Linked DNA regions of Stegostoma tigrinum. The protein of the gene in region 1 purifies or fractionates together with the protein of each later gene. This does not show direct contact. Links are inferred from orthologs where the notes say so. Each region holds a gene or a part of one and is shown on either strand. Other genes may lie near its edges. The genes, in order: cherp and rbm17.

What was found.
Region 2: the proteins of cherp (region 1) and rbm17 purify together in Homo sapiens (co-immunoprecipitation; 4 studies listed by BioGRID and IntAct, counting the BioPlex papers as one, with this or other methods). This does not show direct contact. The link is inferred for Stegostoma tigrinum from reciprocal best matches to the Homo sapiens genes CHERP and RBM17.

The regions. Positions count from the first base shown.
Region 1 is NC_081383.1:43,536,623-43,546,855, reverse strand, and holds the start of cherp (calcium homeostasis endoplasmic reticulum protein), read left to right. Parts: upstream 1-6,180; 5' UTR 6,181-6,271; coding exon 6,272-6,296; intron 6,297-10,233. UniProt on the Homo sapiens protein: Involved in calcium homeostasis, growth and proliferation.
Region 2 is NC_081378.1:5,884,142-5,894,762, reverse strand, and holds the start of rbm17 (splicing factor 45), read right to left. Parts: upstream 4,566-10,621; 5' UTR 4,472-4,565; intron 4,452-4,471; exon of another isoform or gene 4,323-4,451; intron 915-4,322; 5' UTR 897-914; coding exon 774-896; intron 7-773; coding exon 1-6. Other genes in the region: echdc3 (enoyl-CoA hydratase domain-containing protein 3, mitochondrial), read left to right, coding at 6,653-6,834, 7,900-8,021. UniProt on the Homo sapiens protein: Splice factor that binds to the single-stranded 3'AG at the exon/intron border and promotes its utilization in the second catalytic step. Involved in the regulation of alternative splicing and the utilization of cryptic splice sites.

The DNA.
Region 1 (10,233 bases):
GGAAAATGTAAAGCAGCTTCAGGAGAATTTGGTCTTGCTTCATTAATGGGCAAGAACATGGCAGATAGAATATCACGTGGAATGTGAAATTATCCACATACATAGGATAAATAGATGTGCAGAGTTTTTCTTAAGTGGTAAGAGGTTGGAAAGTGTAGATGTAAAGGACCTGGGTGACACTGTCAATAAGTCACTGAAGGCTGACATGTAGGTGCAGCAAGTTATTGAGAAGACTAATGGAATGTTAGCTTTGTTGCAAGAGAATTTGATTCCAGAAGTAGTGAAGTCTTGCTTCAATTCTATAAGAGCTGGTTCAGACCACACCCTGGAGAACTGTGTGCAATTTTGGTGTCCTTATCTCAGGAGTGTAATGAAGAATTTTCCAGGATGGCAGGGCTGTCTTATGAAGAGATTTGGCAATTTGGATTCAGATTCTCTGGAGTTTCGAAGATTAAAAGTGATCTATTTGAAACATACAAAATATTCATAAGGGTAGATGAAAGTAAGATGACTCTGCTGGTTGGGTAGACTAAAACCAAGGGGCTCGATTTAAAAATAAGCAGAATGCTACTGAAGTCAGAGATGGGGAGAAATTATTTTACTCAGAAGGTTATGAACCTTTGGAATGCTCTACCACAGAGCACTGCGGAAGATCAATCCTCGAGTATGTTTAAGGTAGAGATTGATAAATTTATAATTACCAGGTTGTACAGGTTATGGGGATGTTGTGAGTAAAGGCATTGACATGTTTGATCAAACATGATCGTATTGAATGGCAGGAGAATCCTGACAGGCTGAATGGCCTTCTCCGTTCCTACGTAATCAGGAAGAGTTAGATGGTTTCATCAAAGGGAAATCATGTTTAATCAATTTATTGTTGTTCTTTAAAACAGTAAAATATTCTGTGTGTAAAGGGGAGCCTGTAGAAATACTGTACCTGGATTTCCAGAAAGTATTTGATAAGGTTATTGCTGAAAATAAAAGCTCACGGTATTGGGGGCGGGGTAGCATATTTGCATGGGTAGATGATTGGCTAGCTGGCAAAACATAGTCAATTTGCACAAATCCTGCAAGGGACTCAATTGGGTCTCCAACATTTTACAGCTTATTTCAATCAGTTAAATTAGGGGACCAGAGGCATGGTGGCTAATGTCACAAATGACACCAGAAAGTCTGTTGTGAAGAAGACATATGGATCTTGAAGCTAGATACAGATAGGTTAAGTGAGTGGAAAAAGTCTTGGTGGATGAGTATAATGTGTTAAAAAAAAGTCATCATTCACTTTTGCAGGAAGAATGTAAAAAACTAAGCATTATTTAAATGGAGAACAGCTACAGATTTCTAAGGTAGGGAGGGATCTGGGTAGTCTCGCCCGTTTTGTTTATTTACTTGTGGGGCATGGGCATTGCTGGCTGACCAGCATTTATTGCCTATCCCTAGTTGCCCTTGAGAAGATGGTGCTGAGCTGCTTTCTTGAGCCACTGCAGTCCATGTGCTGTAGGTAGACCCACAAGACATACTTCACTGAGTTAGTATGTCAGGAAAGCATGAAATCAAGAAGTCTAATGTTAGGTTAACCTTTCCCATGAGAGGGAATGAGTATAAAATTAAGGATATTATGCTTCAGTTATACAGAGTGTTGTTGAGGCCACATCTTGAATACAATGGGTAGTTTTGGTCCCCAGTGTCAGGAAGGTTGTAAATGTAATGGAGGTGGTTCAGAGGCAGTTTATTAGTTTGATATCTGATGAGTAAGTTGTCTTGTGAGGATTTGTTAGACAGGCTGGGCTGGCTTCATAGAATTCCTACAATGTGGAAGACGCCAAATGGCCCATCAAGTCCACACCGACCCTCTAAAGATTATTCTACCCAGGCCCACCCTCTTACCCTATCCCTGTAACCCTGCATTTCCCATGGCCAATCCACCTAACTTGTACATCTTTGGACCGCGGCAGGAAACCAGAGCACCCGGAGGAAACCCACACAGACACTGGAAGAAATGTGCAAAATCCACACAGATAGTCACTCGAAGATGGAATCAAGCCTGGGACCCTGGTGCTGTAAAGCAGCAGTGCTAACCATTGAGCCGCTGCGTCACCACACCAGTTCAAAGAGTCGGGGTGACTTGATTGAACTAAGATCCTGAATGGCCTTGTCAAGGCTGATGCGGAAAGGACATATTCCCTTGTGGGTGAGCCCAGAGCCAACAGGCACTGTTTCAAAATTAGGGATTGTCCTTTTAGATCAGAGATGAAGTTGATTTATTTTGTCAGAGTTGTAAGACTTTGAAACTCTCTGCTTCAGAAGGTAGTGGAAGTGGATCATTGAATTTTTTAAGGCAAAGGCAGATAGATTCTTGTTAAGCAAGGAAAAATCAAAACTTATCAGGCATACATTTGAATGTAAAATTTAAAACATTAAAATCTGCCATACTTGAGGGGCTGGACTGCCTGCCACCACACCTATTTTGCATATGTGTGAGTTCAGGACAGCCTATCAGATATTAGGATATTACTCATAGGGGATGAGTGGCAACTGCAAATAGAAATATTGTGGGGAGGGGTTGCCATTTGGCAAACAGGTATTTGAATACTGGAATACAAACATATGAAATATGGGGTTGCAGCAATAGATGGAATACAAACTAAAAACCCCAGTGAAAGGATGGAAGGTCATCGACCTGGACTGGTAACTCTGTTTCTCTTCACAGATGCTGAGTTTGCCATCATTTTCTGTTCTTACTTCAAATTTTCAGCATGCAGTTTTTGGTTTTGTATCAATAGGTGGAAGAGGCAGATACAGGCAGAAACCTGAGAGAAATGCCTCCTACGGTGTTGCACCAATTCTATAATTTAGAAGCTAGTGATAACAGGGAAGATTTCCTGAGTGAAAGTTTCAACAATTGGAAGAGTGGAATTAGGAAGTTACAACATTGAGAGACAAAGGAAATGCAAGGTTGTTAGGTTCCTACATAAATATTGGTTTGTATTCTTTTCATAAAGTTACCTCTGTATCCACACAACATTTTTCTTCATGCTTCTGCCTGAAATCCTGGACCCTTTAATGTCTCTCACCTGATGAATCAGTATTTCTCCATGGTAAACACAACCTGGAGTCCTGAGGATAGCAAGGTCAAACAATGTAATCTGGGTGAATTGGCAGCACCATTATCAACTATGCTGGTCAAGTTCTAAAGGACATAGCTGCTAGAGTGGGTCTACAGAAGGTGGTGAAGGAGCCAACAAGGGGGGAAAAAACCCACATTTGACCTCAACCTCACCAATCTAACTACTGCACATGCATGTATCTATGATAGTATTGATAAGAGTGGCCACTGCATAGTATTACTGGAGATAAAGTCCCTTCTTCACATTGAGAATATCCTTCACCATGTTAGGCAGTACTATCACCATGCTAAATGGTATAGATTTCAAACAAATCTAGCTAAACTGGGCATCTACAATTACTCCAACATAATCTGCAACATCATGGTTCAACATATCCCCCACTCTAATACCAACATTAAGCCAGGGAGTTATAGAAACATTCAAAACAGGAGCAGAGGTAGGCCATTTGTGCCTTTCAGCTTGCTCTGCCATTCAATATGATAATGGCTGATCATCCAACTCAGTACCTTGCTCCTGCTTTCTCCCCTTAATATTTGATGTCTTCAGCCCTAAGAATCACATTTAACTGTTTCTTGAAAACATTCAATGTTTTGGCTTCATTTGTTTCCAACCAGCAGAGAATTTCACTGGCTTACCAGAGTGTAGAAACTTTGCCTTACCTCAGTCCTAAATGGTCTACTCCAGATCCTTAAACTGTGATCCCTGGTTCGACACTGTCTGGTCATCAGGAACATCCATCCCGTATTTACCCAATCCAAATCTGATATAAATGTATAAAATTGCATGAAATTCCCTTCATTGTGCTAAACTCCACTGAATACAGTCCCAATTAATCCAGTCTCTCTTTATATGTTAACTATAGCTCAATGAAGAGTGTAGGTAGGAATATCAGGAACAGCACCAGGCATACTTAAAATGAGGTATCAACGTGGTGAAGCTACCAAACAGGACTATTTGTGTGCCAAACACATTAACAGCAAAAGATAGACCAGGGTACATGATTTCACAACCAATGGACCAGGTCCAAGTTCCATAGTCCTGCACATCCAGTCATTAATACTAGTGGATATTTTAACAGTTTACTGGAAGAGGAAGCTCCACAAATATCATATCCTCAATGAGGGGAGAGACCAACGCTGTGTGGAGCTGGAGGAACATAGCAGGCCAGGCAGCACCAGAGAAGCAGGAAAGTTGATATTTCAGGTCAGGACCCTTCTTCAGAAATGGGGGAAGGGAGCTCTGAAATAAATAGAGGATGGGTGGGGCTGGGGAAGGTAAGTGTGATGGTGATAGGTGAGTGCAGATAGGGGATTGGTCAGTGAGGTAGGAGGAGCGGATATGTGGCAGAGAAGGTGGACAGGTTGCGTCAGGTCAAGGAGGTGGGGGATGAGAGGGAGGGTTGGTCATGGGATGAGGAGATTTTGAAACCAGTAAAGTCCACGTTGAGAGCATTGGGCTGTAGGGTCATGAGGCAGAACAGGCACTGCTCCTCCAGTTTCCAGTGGCATCATTGTGACACTTGAGGAGGTCCGGGATGGACATGTCATCCAGGGAGTGGGAACTGAAGTGGTTTGCAGCTGGAAGATGTTGTTGATTGTCACAAACAGAGTGCAGGTACTCTACCTATCTAAGCTATCTCTGAGCCTCATCTTGGTCTCACCAATGTAGAGGTGGCCTATTAGTAGGTAGAATCCCTGTCTCGGAGCCTGAAACTCCAGGTTTGAGTCACACTCCAGACTCAATGAACAAGGAAGATATGTTTGGAAAGTGGCCAAACAGATTGAGAACTAACTTGTAAATCTTTCCAGCACACACCAATGGCAAGCCATAACTGCTGGAAAGATTCCTTCCTAGCATTTTGATGAAAGATATTGTAACTACTACTCAAACATCCAGCTGCCACATGCGAGTAAAATTGTGTTAATGTTTCAAGTTTAGTAAACCTTTTTCAGAATTGGAGTGCAGGAGAACAGTCACTGGATTTAAAATATTAATTCTGTTTTCTCTTCACCGATGGTGCCAGAGCTGCTGAGTTTTTCCCAGCAATTTCTTTTTTTGTTTCTGATTGCCAGCATCTGCAGTTCTTCATAAGAACCAAAAGAACTGCGATGCTGTAAATCAGGAACAAAAACAAAGTTGCTGGAAAAGCTCAGCAGGTCTGGCAGCATCTGTGGAGGAGAAAACAGAGTTAACATTTCGGGTCCACTGACCCTGCTTCAGAACGTTCCTCAAAGGTTCTCTGAAGTTCTTCAGTTTCTTTTGATTTAAAAAGTGTGTTTGCCAGAAATAACTTGGACTCAGTGTTGGGGAGCACCAGGCTACAGTCTGGAGCCAACGGCATGGTGTTCAGTACCGGTTCTAGTTGAGATGTACTGGGTGTACGCATCACTAAACCCCAGGCTGATCGGTACTGCTGTGGGTCAGACTCATCTTTAGACAGACAGCATTTAAACGTAGATAACAAAGTGTGAAGCTGGATGAACACAGCAGGCCAAGCAGCATCTCAGGAGCACAAAAGCTGATGTTTCGGGCCTAGACCCTTCAACCCGCATCTGCAGTTCCCATTATCTCTGCTCAGCATTTAAAGGTAGAACCCCGACAATGTGGAAGCAGGCCATTCGACCCTTAGAATCCTCAAAAACCCTCCAAACAGCATCCCGCCCTAACCATGTAACCCTACATTTCCCATGGCTAATCCACCCAACCCAGACATCTTTGGGCTGTGGGAGGAAACCCACGGGGAGAATGTGCAAACTCCACGCAGCTTCCAGAGGTTGGAATTGAACCCGGGCCTCTGGCACAGTTCTGAGGAAGGGTCACCAGATCCGAAACGTTAACTCTGTCTTCTTCCTTCACAGATGCTGCCAGACCTGCTGAGCTTTTCCAGCAACTTTGTTTTTGTCGCTGGCACTAACCGCTGAGCCACGCCGCCGCCTGGCACCGTACAAAGATGGCCGCCGCGACCGCCCTTCACCGACAGTTCGCAGGCGCGGTGTAAACCACACCCACTGTCGTGCATTCCTGCCGTCGGTCAGTTTTCCTTCCGGTCGAAGACGCCTGCCGTTGGAGAGGGAGTGCTGAATTTGTGATATGAACATTTAAGTGTTATATCTGGAAGTGCGGACAGTGAGAAATCCTCCGCGATGGATATACCGGTGCCTCCTGAGGGTGAGTGCCGGAATGTACCCCTTTGGAACCGAACTTGGGCGGGGAAGTGTCTTTTATTAAAATTATTGTGTGGGAACATACGGGCCCTTTCCTTGCGCCGCTATGGCCTGATCTGGGCCCTAGTCCGCTCCGAGCATGCGTGCCCGCCAATCTCGGTTCTGCGCTTGCATGGAATGTCACTTGGCGGCAGCTGCGCATGCGCAGACAGTTCTGGTTGGGGGGGCCTTGGCTATTAAAAAAACTCCTCAATGGAGAAGGGAAAGCGGCTATGGGGCCTTAGGGCTTGTTACCTAGCCTGACAATCGAACGGAAGCTTCAGTGTTGGCTTCAGAATGGCTCTTTGGGCACATCTGTTAAACGTAAAACTCCTGTTTTCCCCCCACCCTATGAAAACAATGGTGTGACTTATTGAACCGTTTCACAGCCTTCTAGATTGACCGGCCCACTAAGCTATAAAATAATATCTTCTGATTAGTTTTATTTTTCTTGAGCAAAGTTTTCATTGCTTCAGCGTTCTGAAATTTTGTTTTGTAATCTACAAAATGTGACCCTCCTTCAAGAAAATAAAGGTGTAGAGGACTTGACACTCTGCCTTATTTCTTCAGCTTTAATCTAACTTTCACCGATACAGATGTTTACATAATTTTCAGAAATATCATACTTACTCAAACTTAACCTATGCTGTTGCACTGAAAGTATTAATGTAGCTGGGTTTCTCGGATAGCACAGGAATTCTTTGGATGGGGAAAATTTGCTTTACAGTAACAAAACTGGTCAAGAGTAGTGGTTTGATACCTGTTGACAAAAGGTATTCTTTGTTCAAAGTGTCATCACAACATCAAGTATCACTGTAGACTTGAACATGGAGAAAAAAAATCAAAAAACCCCTCTCTGATGAAGGGTCTAGGCCCGAAACGTCAGCTTTTGTGCTCCTGAGATGCTGCTTGGCCTGCTGTGTTCATCCAGCCTCACATTTTATTATCTTGAAAAAAATCACGTGTTGCTTTAAGAGATTAGGCCTCCGTAGAATGTCTGCCAGATTCAACGGCACTATTCACAGTACTGGGAAAATGCTGGCAGATGAAGTTTGATGGAGAAAAGTGTGAGGTCGTACACTTTGATAGGAAGAATCAATAGGCAAGTTATTACTTCATGGTGAGAGAGAGACTCCAAAAAAAATGCATGCACCATGGTGGGATCTACATACTTGTGTTCACAAAATACAAAATGTTAACATGCAAATTAAGCAAATAATTAGGAAGGCAAATTGAATGTATATCTTTGTGGCTTATGGCTTGAATATTAAAAGCAGGAAACCCCTGTTACAACTCTATAGGTGTAGGTGAGGCTGCAGTTGGAGTACAGTGTGCAGTTTAGGTTGTTGCATTTAAAAATAGATATACTAGTATTAGAGGCAGTGCTAAAAAGATTCAGTGGCCTCCTTCCTGGGATGAGGGAATTGACTTATCGTGAACCGCTAAACATTTTAGGCCTTTATTCATTAGAATGAAGGGTGATCTTAGGTAATAGAAACTCTACAATACAGAAACAGGCTCTTTGGCCAAACAAGGCCCCACTGTCACTTGGGGCATCCCATCCAGACCCATCATCCTATAGCCCACCCAATCCACAGATCCCTGAACACGACAGGCAATTTAGCACCGCCAATCCACCTAGCCTGCACATCTTTGGACTGTGGGAAACCCTGCTTTGCCTGCGACGGTAGTAGATTCGCCAATTTTAGGTACATTTAAGTCGTCATTAGATAAGCATATGGAATAGTGTAGGTTAGATGGGCTTCAGATCAGCATGACAGGTCGGCACAACACCGAGGACCGAAGGGCCTGTACTGTGCTGTAATGTTCTATGTGCAAACTCCACATGGACATCGCCCAAGGGTTGAATCGAACCCGGTCCTCTGGTGCTTTGAGGTAGCAGTGCTAAACACTGAGCCACCGTGTTGCCCGTTGAAATGTACAAGATTCTGAAGGGACTTGATAGGATATCTGTTGAGATTTTTTCATTCGAGTTAGGGACTGTAATGACAATTTTTTTTTTGAAACTGAGGCATGTAGGAATTTCTTCTCCCAGAGGATTATGAATGTCTGACATTCTCTATCTTTTCATTGTGAAGGTTAGGTCACTCAGTGCGTTTGAAGACATGGGAAGATTTTTGAAAATTCAAGGTGTTGAGGGCTATAGGAGCTGGCATGAAAGCAGATTTGAGGCTTGGTGTAGTTCAGCCATAATCTCACTGTATGGCAAGGCAGGCATGATGGACTGCATAGCCTACTGCTCCTATTGCTTATGGACTTAAATTACCTTAGTTGTTGAAAATGACTGTTGCCATCTTTCCCTATGAAACTGACTTTCCCTATGAACTGCTAGCATGTACACAGAAACAAAATGCTGTAGACACTGGAAATATTCACCAGACCAAGCAACAACATTGGAGAAAGAAGCAAAGCTGATATTTCAGGTTAATCCGCATTTCCCGCAACACATCCCTCACACCCAGTCCCCGCCACAACCGCCCAAAGAGGATCCCCCTCGTTCTGTCACACCACCCCACCAACCTCCGGATACAATGCGTCATCCTCCGACACTTCCGCCATCTACAATCCGACCCCACCACCCAAGACATTTTTCCATCCCCATCCTTGTCTGCTTTCCGGAGAGACCACTGTCTCCGTGACTCCCTTGTTTGCTCCACCACACCTGGCACCTTCCCCTGCAACCGCAGGAAGTGCTACGCTTGCCCCCACACCTCCCCCTCACCCCTATCCCAGGCCCCAAGATGACTTTCCATATTAAGCAGAGGTTCACCTGCACATCTGCCAGTGTGGTATACTGTATCCATTGTACCCGGTGTGGCATCCTCTACATTGGGGAAACCAAGCGGAGCCTTGGGGACCGCTTTGCAGAACACCTCCGCTTGGTTCGCAATAAACAACTACACCTCTCAGTCGCAAACCATTTTAACTCCCCCCTCCCATTCTTTAGATGACATGTCCATCATGGGCCTCCTGCAGTGCCACAATGATGCCACCCGAAGGTTGCAGGAATAGCAACTCATATTTCGCTTGGGAACCCTGCAGCCCAATGATATCAATGTGGACTTCACCAGCTTCAAAATCTCCCCTTCCCCCACCACATCCCAAAACCAGCCCAGTTCGTCCCCTCCCCCCACTGCATCACACAACCAGCTCAGCTCATCCCCTCCCCCACTGCAATCCAAAACCAGCCCAGCCTGTCTCTGCCTCCCTAACCTGTTCTTCCTCTCACCCATCCCTTCCTCCCACCTCAAGCCGCACCTCCATTTCCTACCTACTAACCTCATCCCACCTCCTTGACCTGTCCGTCTTCCCTGGACTGTCTTATCCACTCCCTATCTCCCCACCTATACTCTTCTCTCCACCTATCTTCTTTTCTCTCCATCTTCCGTCCGCCTCCCCCTCTCTCCCTATTTATTCCAGAACCCTCACCCCGTCCCCCTCTCTGATGAAGAATCTAGGCCTGAAACGTCAGCTTTTGTGCTCCTGAGATACTGCTTGGCCTGCTGTGTTCATCCAGCTTCACACTTTATTATCTTATAATTGTCTATGAAATTGGCTTTACAGTAGGAGACAAGAGTGGTTCCTATCAATGTGGACTCCACAGAATCTCCCCTCCCCCACCGCATCCCAAAACCAGCCCAGTTCATCCCTGCCTCCCTAACCTTACCTCCCTCCCACCTATCCCCCCTCCCACCTCAAGCCCAACCCCCATCTCCTACCTACTAACCTTATCCTGCCCCCTTGACCTGTCTGAACTTCGTGGACTGACTTATCTCCTCCCTAACTTCCCACCTACACTCACCTTTACTGGCTTCATCCCCCCCCCTTTAACTTGACTGTCTCCTCTCCACCTATCTTCTCCTTTATCCATCTTCGATCTG
Region 2 (10,621 bases), on another chromosome or scaffold:
CTGGGTCTAGAAGCAATCGCAGACATGAATTAGAACCAGTGTCAACTTCTACCAAAAGAACAAAGTCTTCCAACTGAAAAGATAGTAAACTCAAAAAGGAAATAAGTCTTTAATAAATCATCCCACCACAATACATTAACAGTAACATATCTCCAGCTGATAAACATTATCAGAAACAGAAGTTCATAGACGATAAACTGTGTGAGTAATCAGTAAGTGATAAAAGTTATTCAGACTTGTTTATCATAATTAGATCATTTTTCTTTTTAAAAATAATTTTTATCCTCTTCACCCTTCAATGGTATTTGCACCTTGCTTCCGCATAAAAGGGGGGAGCAGGGGGACTAGCCAATATTTCCAATCATTATCCATCTTCCAGGAACAGAAACAAACTGATCATTAACTTTTCCTTCATCTCAAGTGCTGGATGAAGATCAGGCACCAGCAAAGACTAGAAGCATCGTAAGCCAAAACACACAGCCTTCAGTTCTCAGGGTCATTTCACCTGAGCTCACCGAGTGTTGAGTGGGCATTAGTAACAAGAGAAGGACAAAGAATCCACAATGGATTGCAGTACATTTTACGAGAAGATCTCAAAAGCTGAATGCAGGAGAAGTTCTCTGCTCACACCAACACCGAATGGTTGAAGAAGGTACCTCTGACGGAGCTTGCCCAACAGTTGACCTTCCCGTATGAAAATGTGACCGAGTTTCCATTATACTGTACTTCGAGCCTGGCTTGTAAATAAAGAGGTGAAAAATAAGAAGTATTACCTTCGCTTGTGTAAGCGTAGCTTTCTTCACCTGCAGCTGAGACTGAAGGAGTTTGAAATTTTTTGACCAGCCCTCTGTCTTTGAGTCGCTGGTCTCAACCCCCAAATCATCGTACAGGGACATTTCACCTTCCCTTCACGGCTGCAATGAACAGGAAATAAAATCACACTTGCATAAAGTGACAAATTCATCAAGTAAGTAACTCCAAACCTTCAGAGTTTTTTTTAAAGCAACATTTCAGCATTCAGACAACATTTCACATTCTACTCCTCTCCTACAAATTCGAGTGATCCTTCTGAGGCCCCAGAGAAAGGAAGAGTTTATTTATGGTTAACATTTACTTGTGTGAAAAAAAACAATGCAAACCAGCAGGAGTCAATTCACTACTGAGTGGTCTGGGGGAGAAAAGCAGAAACAGATGAGAACATGAAGGAAAAATAATACATTTGTTGTAAATCTGAAAAAAAACAAAGCCTCAGAAGCACCAAGCAAATTAATGTAATTGATCAAACAAACAAAAGTTGACTGTGGTTTTAGCAACAATCTGAACTAAAATACATTACCAATAAAAAAAATTAGAAGGAACATCACAATAAAGAAAAGGGAAGGGAGAGAAAATGCCATGAGCGTAAATGCAGAATAACACAGGATTTGTAACTGTGGGAATCAGAAAATGATTAAAGTTTAGAAACGAGGTGTGCATGCAACCACAGAAACACAGAGAATTGGAAGAGTTAATGGGTGAAATCAATAAGTGGAATGGGAGGTACTTGCCTCCGGTCACAAAGTCTTGGATTCAAGGCCCTTCTAAAACCACATCACCCAGACAGATAATTCTCTACACTACTTAATAACTGTATTCAAAGTGATAAAAACTACAAGTATCAGTTGATTTAATTTCAATCATTTTCAGATGTGGCTAACAGGTTGTGCAATTTAAGACTAAATATATAAAGAAAGGTTCAGTGATCTCCCAGTGGGTAAATTGTTTTATATTCAAAGCAGCCACACAGAAGAAAAAGAGTTAGTGAGGCTGGCAATATTGAAGAGTTTGAGGAACAGGAAGTAGACTGATAGGGATTTAAAATGTCATCCAAAGAGTCAATGTGGTGCCTCAAGCCCCTACAGTCTGCCCACAACATAACAGGTCCTCAGAAGATGCCCTAGCCCTGCACTCTTCCTGGAGCATTTAGACATCAAAGACACCTATGTCAGACTCCTGCTCATGGACCACAGGTCTGCCTTCAACATCATTATCCCCTCCAGGCTGATCTCAAAATTCCATGACATTGATCTTGGCTCCTCTGCAACTGGGTCCTCAGCTTTCTGACCCATAGGCTGCAATCAGTGAGGATGGCTAACTCCTTCGCAATAACACTCAACACTGGAACCCTGCCCACCCCCACCAAGGATCCATCTTCAGCCCCCTACTGTACTCCCTGTACACCTACACTGTGTTGCCAAATTCGGAACGAACGCTATCTATAAGTTCGCTGACAACACCACCATAGTGGGACAGATATCTAACAACAATGGGTCAAAGTACGGAAGGGAAATGGAGGACTTGGTGAAGAGGTGCAATGAAAATAATCTGTCTCTCAATATCGACAAGACTAAAGAAGTGATTATGGACTTCAGAAAGAAAGGAGAACACGCCCCCACCTACATCAACAGAACTGAGGTTGAGAGAGGGAACAGCATCAAGTTTGTCGGAGAGATGATAACCAACAACCTGTCCTGGATTTCCCACACAGATGCAACAGTCAAGAAGGGTCAACCTGGTAATGATCTCCTACAACCTCTTCCATGAGGCAGAAGATACAGAAACCTCAACACACACACAAGCAGGTTCAGAAACAGCTTTTTTCTGTAGGAGGAGTAGGATATGAAATGTGGCTTTAGAAAAGAACTGTGAAAGTGATGAATGGACTCTACCCTCCAACAATGTAACCTGTATGTCTCCAAGTCTTTTTCATCTGTACCCCCTTTGCTTGCTGTGAGCTTCCTTTACCGCTCGTAAACAAAGCTTCTCACAATATTTCATGACACCTGACAATAAAACCAATCAATCAAAAAGCAAACGAGGGAGGGACTAGGGATGATGGGGGGTATCGATAAAGGCGGGAGAAATCAATGGAGGGAGGGGGAGGGGAGAATCAATGAGAGGCAAGAGGGATCAATGAGAGGCAAGGGGGTACAATGAGGGGGAATCGGGGGGGGGGATGAGGGGGAATCGGGGGGGGGGATGAGGGGGAGTCGGGGGGGGGGATGAGGGGGAATCGGGGGGGGGGGGATGAGGGGGAATCGGGGGGGGGGGGGATGAGGGGGAATCGGGGGGGGGGGGGATGAGGGGGAATCGGGGGGGGGGGGGGGATGAGGGGGAATCGGGGGGGGGGGGGGATGAGGGGGAATCGGGGGGGGGGGGATGAGGGGGAATCGGGGGGGGGGGGGATGAGGGGGAATCGGGGGGGGGGGGGATGAGGGGGAATCGGGGGGGGGGGGGATGAGGGGGAATCGGGGGGGGGGGGATGAGGGGGATGAGGGGGGGGGGGGATGAGGGGGAATCGGGGGGGGGGGGATGAGGGGGAATCGGGGGGGGGGGGATGAGGGGGAATCGGGGGGGGGGGATGAGGGGGAATCGGGGGGGGGGGGATGAGGGGGAATCGGGGGGGGGGGGGGATGAGGGGGAATCGGGGGGGGGGGGATGAGGGGGAATCGGGGGGGGGGGGATGAGGGGGAATCGGGGGGGGGGGGGATGAGGGGGAATCGGGGGGGGGGGGGATGAGGGGGAATCGGGGGGGGGGGGATGAGGGGGAATCGGGGGGGGGGGGGATGAGGGGGAATCGGGGGGGGGGATGAGGGGGAATCGGGGGGGGGGGATGAGGGGGAATCGGGGGGGGGGGATGAGGGGGAATCGGGGGGGGGGGATGAGGGGGAATCGGGGGGGGGGGATGAGGGGGAATCGGGGGGGGGGGGATGAGGGGGAATCGGGGGGGGGGGATGAGGGGGAATCGGGGGGGGGGGGATGAGGGGGAATCGGGGGGGGGGGATGAGGGGGAATCGGGGGGGGGGGGATGAGGGGGAATCGGGGGGGGGGGGATGAGGGGGAATCGGGGGGGGGGGGATGAGGGGGAATCGGGGGGGGGGGATGAGGGGGAATCGGGGGGGGGGGGATGAGGGGGAATCGGGGGGGGGGGGATGAGGGGGAATCGGGGGGGGGGATGAGGGGGAATCGGGGGGGGGATGAGGGGGAATCGGGGGGGGGGATGAGGGGGAATCGGGGGGGGGGATGAGGGGGAATCGGGGGGGGGGGATGAGGGGGAATCGGGGGGGGGGTGAGGGGGAATCGGGGGGGGGGTGAGGGGGAATCGGGGGGGGGAATCGAGACCGGGGGGGGCGTAATTTGAAGATAAATATTAAGGTGACGATGGCGGGAGGTGGGGGGGGGGGGGCTCCAGTCTGACGCGGGGCCGCGCTGAGGCCTAAATCCTCGGCGTCAATTTCAGCAGCTCCCCCCTCCCTCCCTCCGGGCCGCGCGCTACCCCTCACCGGTTCCTGCTGCCGCCCCCTCTGTCTCTGTCTCTGTCTCTGTCCCCCCGAGGGGGAGGGGGGTAAGGTGTGGGGGTTGGGGGGGGGGGGGGGTGCGGGTTGTTGTTGTCCTTTCGCCCCGCGAGGCCCTGAGCGCGGCGGCTGCTCACCGGAAGCTTGGGCCCAGGGTCCATCCACATCGCGGCTCCGGGGGGAAACACGGAGCGGCCCCGCCGCAGAAACGGTCCCTCCCCCGCCGCACACAACAATAAACCGAAAGCTGCAGCTGTCCGCCCGCAAACCCACTGTGTTCACCCTCGGGTTACAGTTTTTTAAAATTTTATCCCTTTAAAATATATTTACACATCCACCACACCCCCACCTCAATTACACGCACACACGCTGGAGACAGTCCATCTATCCACTTGGTCAGTCAGTGCACCTGGCAATTCGACTGCAGCAAGCATCACGGTCAAGTCTGCCTTCAGCCTCGCATCTGTCCTTGAGCATTAGATCCACCGTTTGAATGGAGTACCATTTCAAGTGGTCATTCACGTACTTCTTTTTTAAAAAACTTAACCAGAATTGCTCTTACATACAGCTGAATGTTTTGTTTTCCCCGTCACCAACTCGCCCATGGCCCAAGTGATTTTTAAAGGCTGTGAGAATTACCTGCTTCTTCATCATTTACCTACTGCCAAACTCCTGCTTTCTCCTCACACCCTTGACAGGTAACATGCAAGAATGGAAACTGTGCCAACTTTGTGTTCTTCACTTGAAAGTCTTGCAACTTGATAAGGAATGTTTTTGTGAGCCGCAGCAGAAGGTCCTGAAACAGTTTACAGCCAGTTATGCATTTTTTATGAAGGAAAGGGCAGTCATTGTTGTATTGGACACTAGCAAGGTCCCATAGATAGACAGGAAAGTCTGATTTAGTTGCACAGCTTTAGGGATCAATGTTGGTTTGAACGACAGGAAAATCTCTCCTGCTGTTCTTTTAAATGATGCCATGGGATCTTGTACAATCACCTGAGAGGGGTAAAAAAACAGGCCGCGAGCACCTCACGAACTGCGACAGTGCAGCTTTCCCTCAGTACTGCACCAGAGGCCAGTTGATTGTGGTTAAGCCCCAACTTTGACACAGAAACAGAAGCGCTGTCACTGAGCCACAATGGGTCAACTGTTCTTTGGGAGTTGATCAATGAGTGACTCCGGACACACCGACTGTCTCACTCACTTTTCAAGTGCAGCATGGCAGCTCAGCGGTTAGCACTGCTGCCTCACAGCGCCAGGGACCTGGGTTTCAATTGTACCCTCAGGCAACTGCCTGTGTGAAGGCTTGCACATTCTCCCTGTGTCTGTATGGGTTTCCTCACACAACCTGAAGATAGGCAGGCTAGGCCAGTTAGCCATGGAAAATGCAGGGTTATAAGGTGGTTTGGGTGGGATGCCCTTTAGAGGGGCAGTCTGAACTTGATGGACCAAATGGCCTGCTTCCGCACTGTAGGGTTTCTATGATTTCTGTGAAGTATCATGCCTAAGGAGGGTATTGATAATCATGGACCTCCATCAGATTAGTCCATGTTGCAGACTGATAATCACCCTGTGGACTGTATTACGGTACCCTTCCATGGCCATCGGGACCTGAACTCAGAGCTTTACCTGCTGTACTACAAAACCTCCCCCTCGGGACTCTAAAATTTTAAAAATAAATTAGTATCAATGTTTGGGGAAGTGTTTGAAGTGAGATATTTCGAGGTGAAAAGGGCAGTGAAAGTCCATTGAAACAAATGAGCCGTATTATTTTGCGAGGTATTATCAAAGCAGATCAAATAGAAAATGAAACATGGTCAAATTGGGAAAATTATAATTTACAACAAAACAGCATTTATGATTTATTTATACTCATTCACAGGATGTGGGCATCACTGGCTAGGCAGCATTTATTGCCCATCCCTAATTGCCCAGAGGGCAGTTAAAAGCCAACCACATTGCTGTGGGTCTGGAGTCACATATAGGCCAGAGCAGTTTCCATTAGTGAACCAGATGGACTTTTCTGACGATCAGCGATGGATTCATGGTCGTCGTTAGACATTTAATTCCAGATTTTTATTGAATTCAAATTCCACTGTGTGCCTTGACAAATTTTGAAGCCAGGCCCCCAGAACAATTACCTGGGTCTCCAAATGAATGGTCTCACGATAACACCACTGGGCCGCTGCATCCCCAAAGCAAAAATGAGAAAAAGCGAGCAAAATCCTGGCCCGGACTTGTAAAGTAGGTGGAACTTTAAGTGTGAGTTTTAGGTTGTGTTGGGACTGTTGTGTTGTCTGAACAGGGGTGGCGGCACCATGGGGAGCTTGGCCGCTGCTGCGAGATGTTTCAGGAAAATGAGAAGAGCCCCCTCCACCCGGCTTTTCCAGGGGGCAGGCACCACGGGAAATGTATCGGTTATTTATACACCAGGCCGCTGGGCCAGTGAAAGAGCTCAATGTGATAAACTGACTGTCAGAACTCAGAAGGATGGGATCAGGTTGGTGGGGGCATGGACTGACCCAGACGCTACCCACTAGAAATTACACAGGTTCAGGGCACTGTTCTTCTTCGGGTAAATTGGGATGGGGTTGGCAATACTAGCCTTCTGCAGAGCTGGGAAAGCAGTGGCCCGGTGGTATCATCGCTGGACTGTCAATCCAGAGACCTCTGCGAATGCCCTGGGGACTCAGGTTCGAATCCCGCCCGGGGAGGATGGTGGAACAGTACAAAAAGAAAACATCTGACCCTGAACTCGTCGCTGCTGATCCCATCTGGTTCACCAATATCCTTCGGGGACGGAAACTGCCATCCTGTGGCTCCTGGCACACTGTTATGTGGTTGGCCCTCAGCTACCCCGTGGGCAGTTAGGGAGGGGCAATAAATGCTGCCCTCACCGGAAATGCCCCCGTTCAGGGAATAACAAACACAGGGGGCCAATCCAGTTACGAAAGACTTGAGCAGTAGTTTGTGGGAGGTGTTCAAATGCAAAGTCAAAGAGGCTGCTTTCCTAAATGGACAACAAAACAGAGATATTTAAGATTTGCCAAGGGCGTAACAAACAGGAATAGGCCGTTCGGCCCCTCAAGCCTGCTCCATTCAATAAGATCATGGCCGATCCAACACTCCTCACATTCACTCTCCTGCATTTTCCCCATAAACTTTGACTCCTCAACTGGCCAAGAACTTATTCGGCCTTGAATATACACAAGGACTCCATCCTCGCAGCTTCATGTTGGCAAGAAGTCCCAAAGACTCACAACCCTTTGAGAGAAGAAATTCCTCTTCATCTCAGTCTCAAATTGCCAACCGTTCATTCTGAGGGGATACTGTGTGAACCCAGACTCTCCCATGATGGAAAACATCCTCTAAGCATTTACCCTGTTGAGCCCCTGAAGAAACCTGTATGTTTCAATGGGGTGTCACCTTTCTCCTCTCTCAATTTCAGTGAGTACAGGCCCAACCTACTGAACGTCGCCTCATAAAGCAGTCCCTCCCTTCCTGGTATCTCTGGGCTGCCTCCATTGTCAGTGTGTCTCTAGAAAATAGTTTGTCTCCTGTCTAGGTCCATCGTTCTGAATAACCCACAGAAGAGGAATGCTCTGTCGCTGGCCATGTTGGAATCTCTGCGCACCAACCTCCTCCACGAAGCAGAAAGCAATGACCTGCGCGTTATTGTCATATCAGGTAATTCCAGCATGGGTTTTAACATTTAACACACCTACTTAGATCATGGGGTAAAGTAAAACGAAGCTAGGGAAATGAGACTGATGGCACGGTGGCTCAGTGCTTAGCACTGCTGCCTCACAGCGCCAGGGACCCGGGTTCGATTCCAGCCTCGGGCGACTGTCTGTGCGGAGTTTGCACATTCTCCCCGTGTCTGCGTGGGTTTCCTCCGGGTGCTCCGGTTTCCTCCCACAGTCCAAAGATGTGCGGGCTAGGTGGATCGGCCATGGGAAATTGGTCATAGCATACAGTAGACATAGATTCTACATGGGAAATGCAGGGTAGATCTGGGTGAGATACTGTTTGGAGGGTTGGTGTGGACTTGATGGGCTGAGTGGCCTGCTTGCACGCAGTAGGGATACTATGAATGCTCTCTTTGTACCTTTAAAAAGTACTTGGATGAGCACTGGAAATGTCGTCACATTCAGGGCTGTGGGGCTAGTGTTGTACTGGTGATATTTTTGACAGTACAGATTCTATGGGCCGAAGGCCTCTGCGATTCTACGATTCTACTGGCTTAGATGATCCCATGTAGTGCACTAATTGAGGCGTTATAAATCACTCTGGGAGATATAGTGGCAAATTAGTGAGTGCTCACTCCAGCTCCTGGTTTCTGTCTTCTGCATTGATTCAGGGTTTAGGTAAGCTCGGGAGCAGGCTGTGGGCTGGAACATGCAAAGGAGACAACTGTCAAACCTCACACAGGAAACCTGGGACAACCACCAGCGGGAGGGGGGAGTATAGCTGCAGCAAAACCATATCCCAGGAAAAAGTTAGCTTCTCCAGAGAGAAGAAACAGGGTAAAAATCACGCGGGGAACTGAATTATGAGTAACATACAACTTAGGAGCATATGTAGGCCATTCAGACCCTAAATCCGACACTACTGTTCAATAAGACCGTGGCTGATCTGTTCCACATTCCCAACTATCCCCAATAACCCCCGATTCATCTGCCTAACAAGAATGTCTTTAGAAACACTGAAAGAACTGTGGATGCTGGAAATCAGAAATTGCTGGAGGTCTGGCAGCACCTGTGGAGAGAAAGCAGAGTTAACGTTTCGAATCCAGTAACCCTCAGAACCAATCTGAATCTGTCTACCTTGTCTTTCAAAATATTCAATTAACCCCATCCACTGCCTTCCAAGGCAGAGGGTTCTAATGGTGGACAACACTGAGAAAAAAAGATATCTCTTCAGCTCTGACCTGAAAAAGGTGATCCTAATTTTAAAGCAGCACCTCTGGCTTCTGGTCTCCTTTCCACGAACACCCATCACGACCTTCCAGGATTTTGTACATATCATTCAAGTCACCTGCTACTTTCGTAAAACCACTAGAAACAAAAGCAGCCCTGTCTCTATTTGTCAGAAAACAATCCGCTCCTTCCAATAAGTTTCCTTTGATCAGCCTCCACTTTATTTCCATCTTTCTTTACATAAAGAGACAAAAACCATGCACAGTTTGGAGAGGCGGCCTCACCGAAGCCTTTGTACAACTGGGTCTGTCAGGTAACCGTACCTCAGGAGGGAGAGCTAGATGGAATGAGTACCCCTGCTACTGACCCCGTTTAGCGATCAAAGGGCTACTTCACCCAAGCTCTGGGCCTTCCTGCCTCCTCTACAACCCCACGTTCCACCTCCCCCATCTCCAGGTTTAAATAGCCAAGGGATGTCCCTGATTAGTGGGAAAGCGATCACCACCGACTTCTCTGCTGCTAGGGTAGGAGACAGAGCCAGCAGAAACATTCTGGCTATGTCTTTGGTTCAACAGTCCAGTAAACAAGGGTTTGATGGACTGAATGGCCTCTGTCATCTGTAAACTTCTGTGAAAAACATCTCGGCTCTCTCTCAAGCTGTCTCCGTCTCTCGCCGTGTTACAAAATTGTTCTGGTGCAGAAGTGGCCATCTCACCCATTATGTATGTACCAGCTCTCTCAGCATTTTAACTTAGTGCCAAAGTCCCAACTCTGCCCCCTCTCTCCCTTTCTTACTTTCTGTCTCTCTCTCCTTCTCCCTCTCTGACTCTCTCTCCCACTCTCACTGTGTCTCTCTCTCTCCTTCTCCTTCTCTGTCTCTTTCTCCTACTCTCACTGCTTCTCTCTCTTTCCCTCACTCTCTCTGACTCTGTCTGTTCACTCTCACTGTGTCTCTCTTTCTCTCCTTCTCCCTCTCTGTCCCTTTCTCCCACTCTCAATGCTTCTCTCTTTCCCTCGCTCTCTCTGAGTCTCTCTCTCCCATCCTCACTGTGTGTGTCTCTCTTGCTCTCTCTCTCTCTCTCTCTCTCTCTCTCTCTCCTTCTTCCTCTCCGGCTTTCTGAATCTCCCTTCCACTGTCTCTCTCCTTCACTCTCTCTGTCACTTACATTCTCTCGCTCTGTCTCTTTCCCACTCCCTCTCTAAATCTGTCACCCTCACTCTCCCCATACCCTCACTTAGACCAGGGATCTGACAATGCAGAAGGCAAGAAAACAATAAACTTGCACTTAACGAAAGAAAATGTTCACGGGTCATTGCTGGAAATGATTTTATTTATTTTAATTGTAATATTAGTATCATATTTCCATT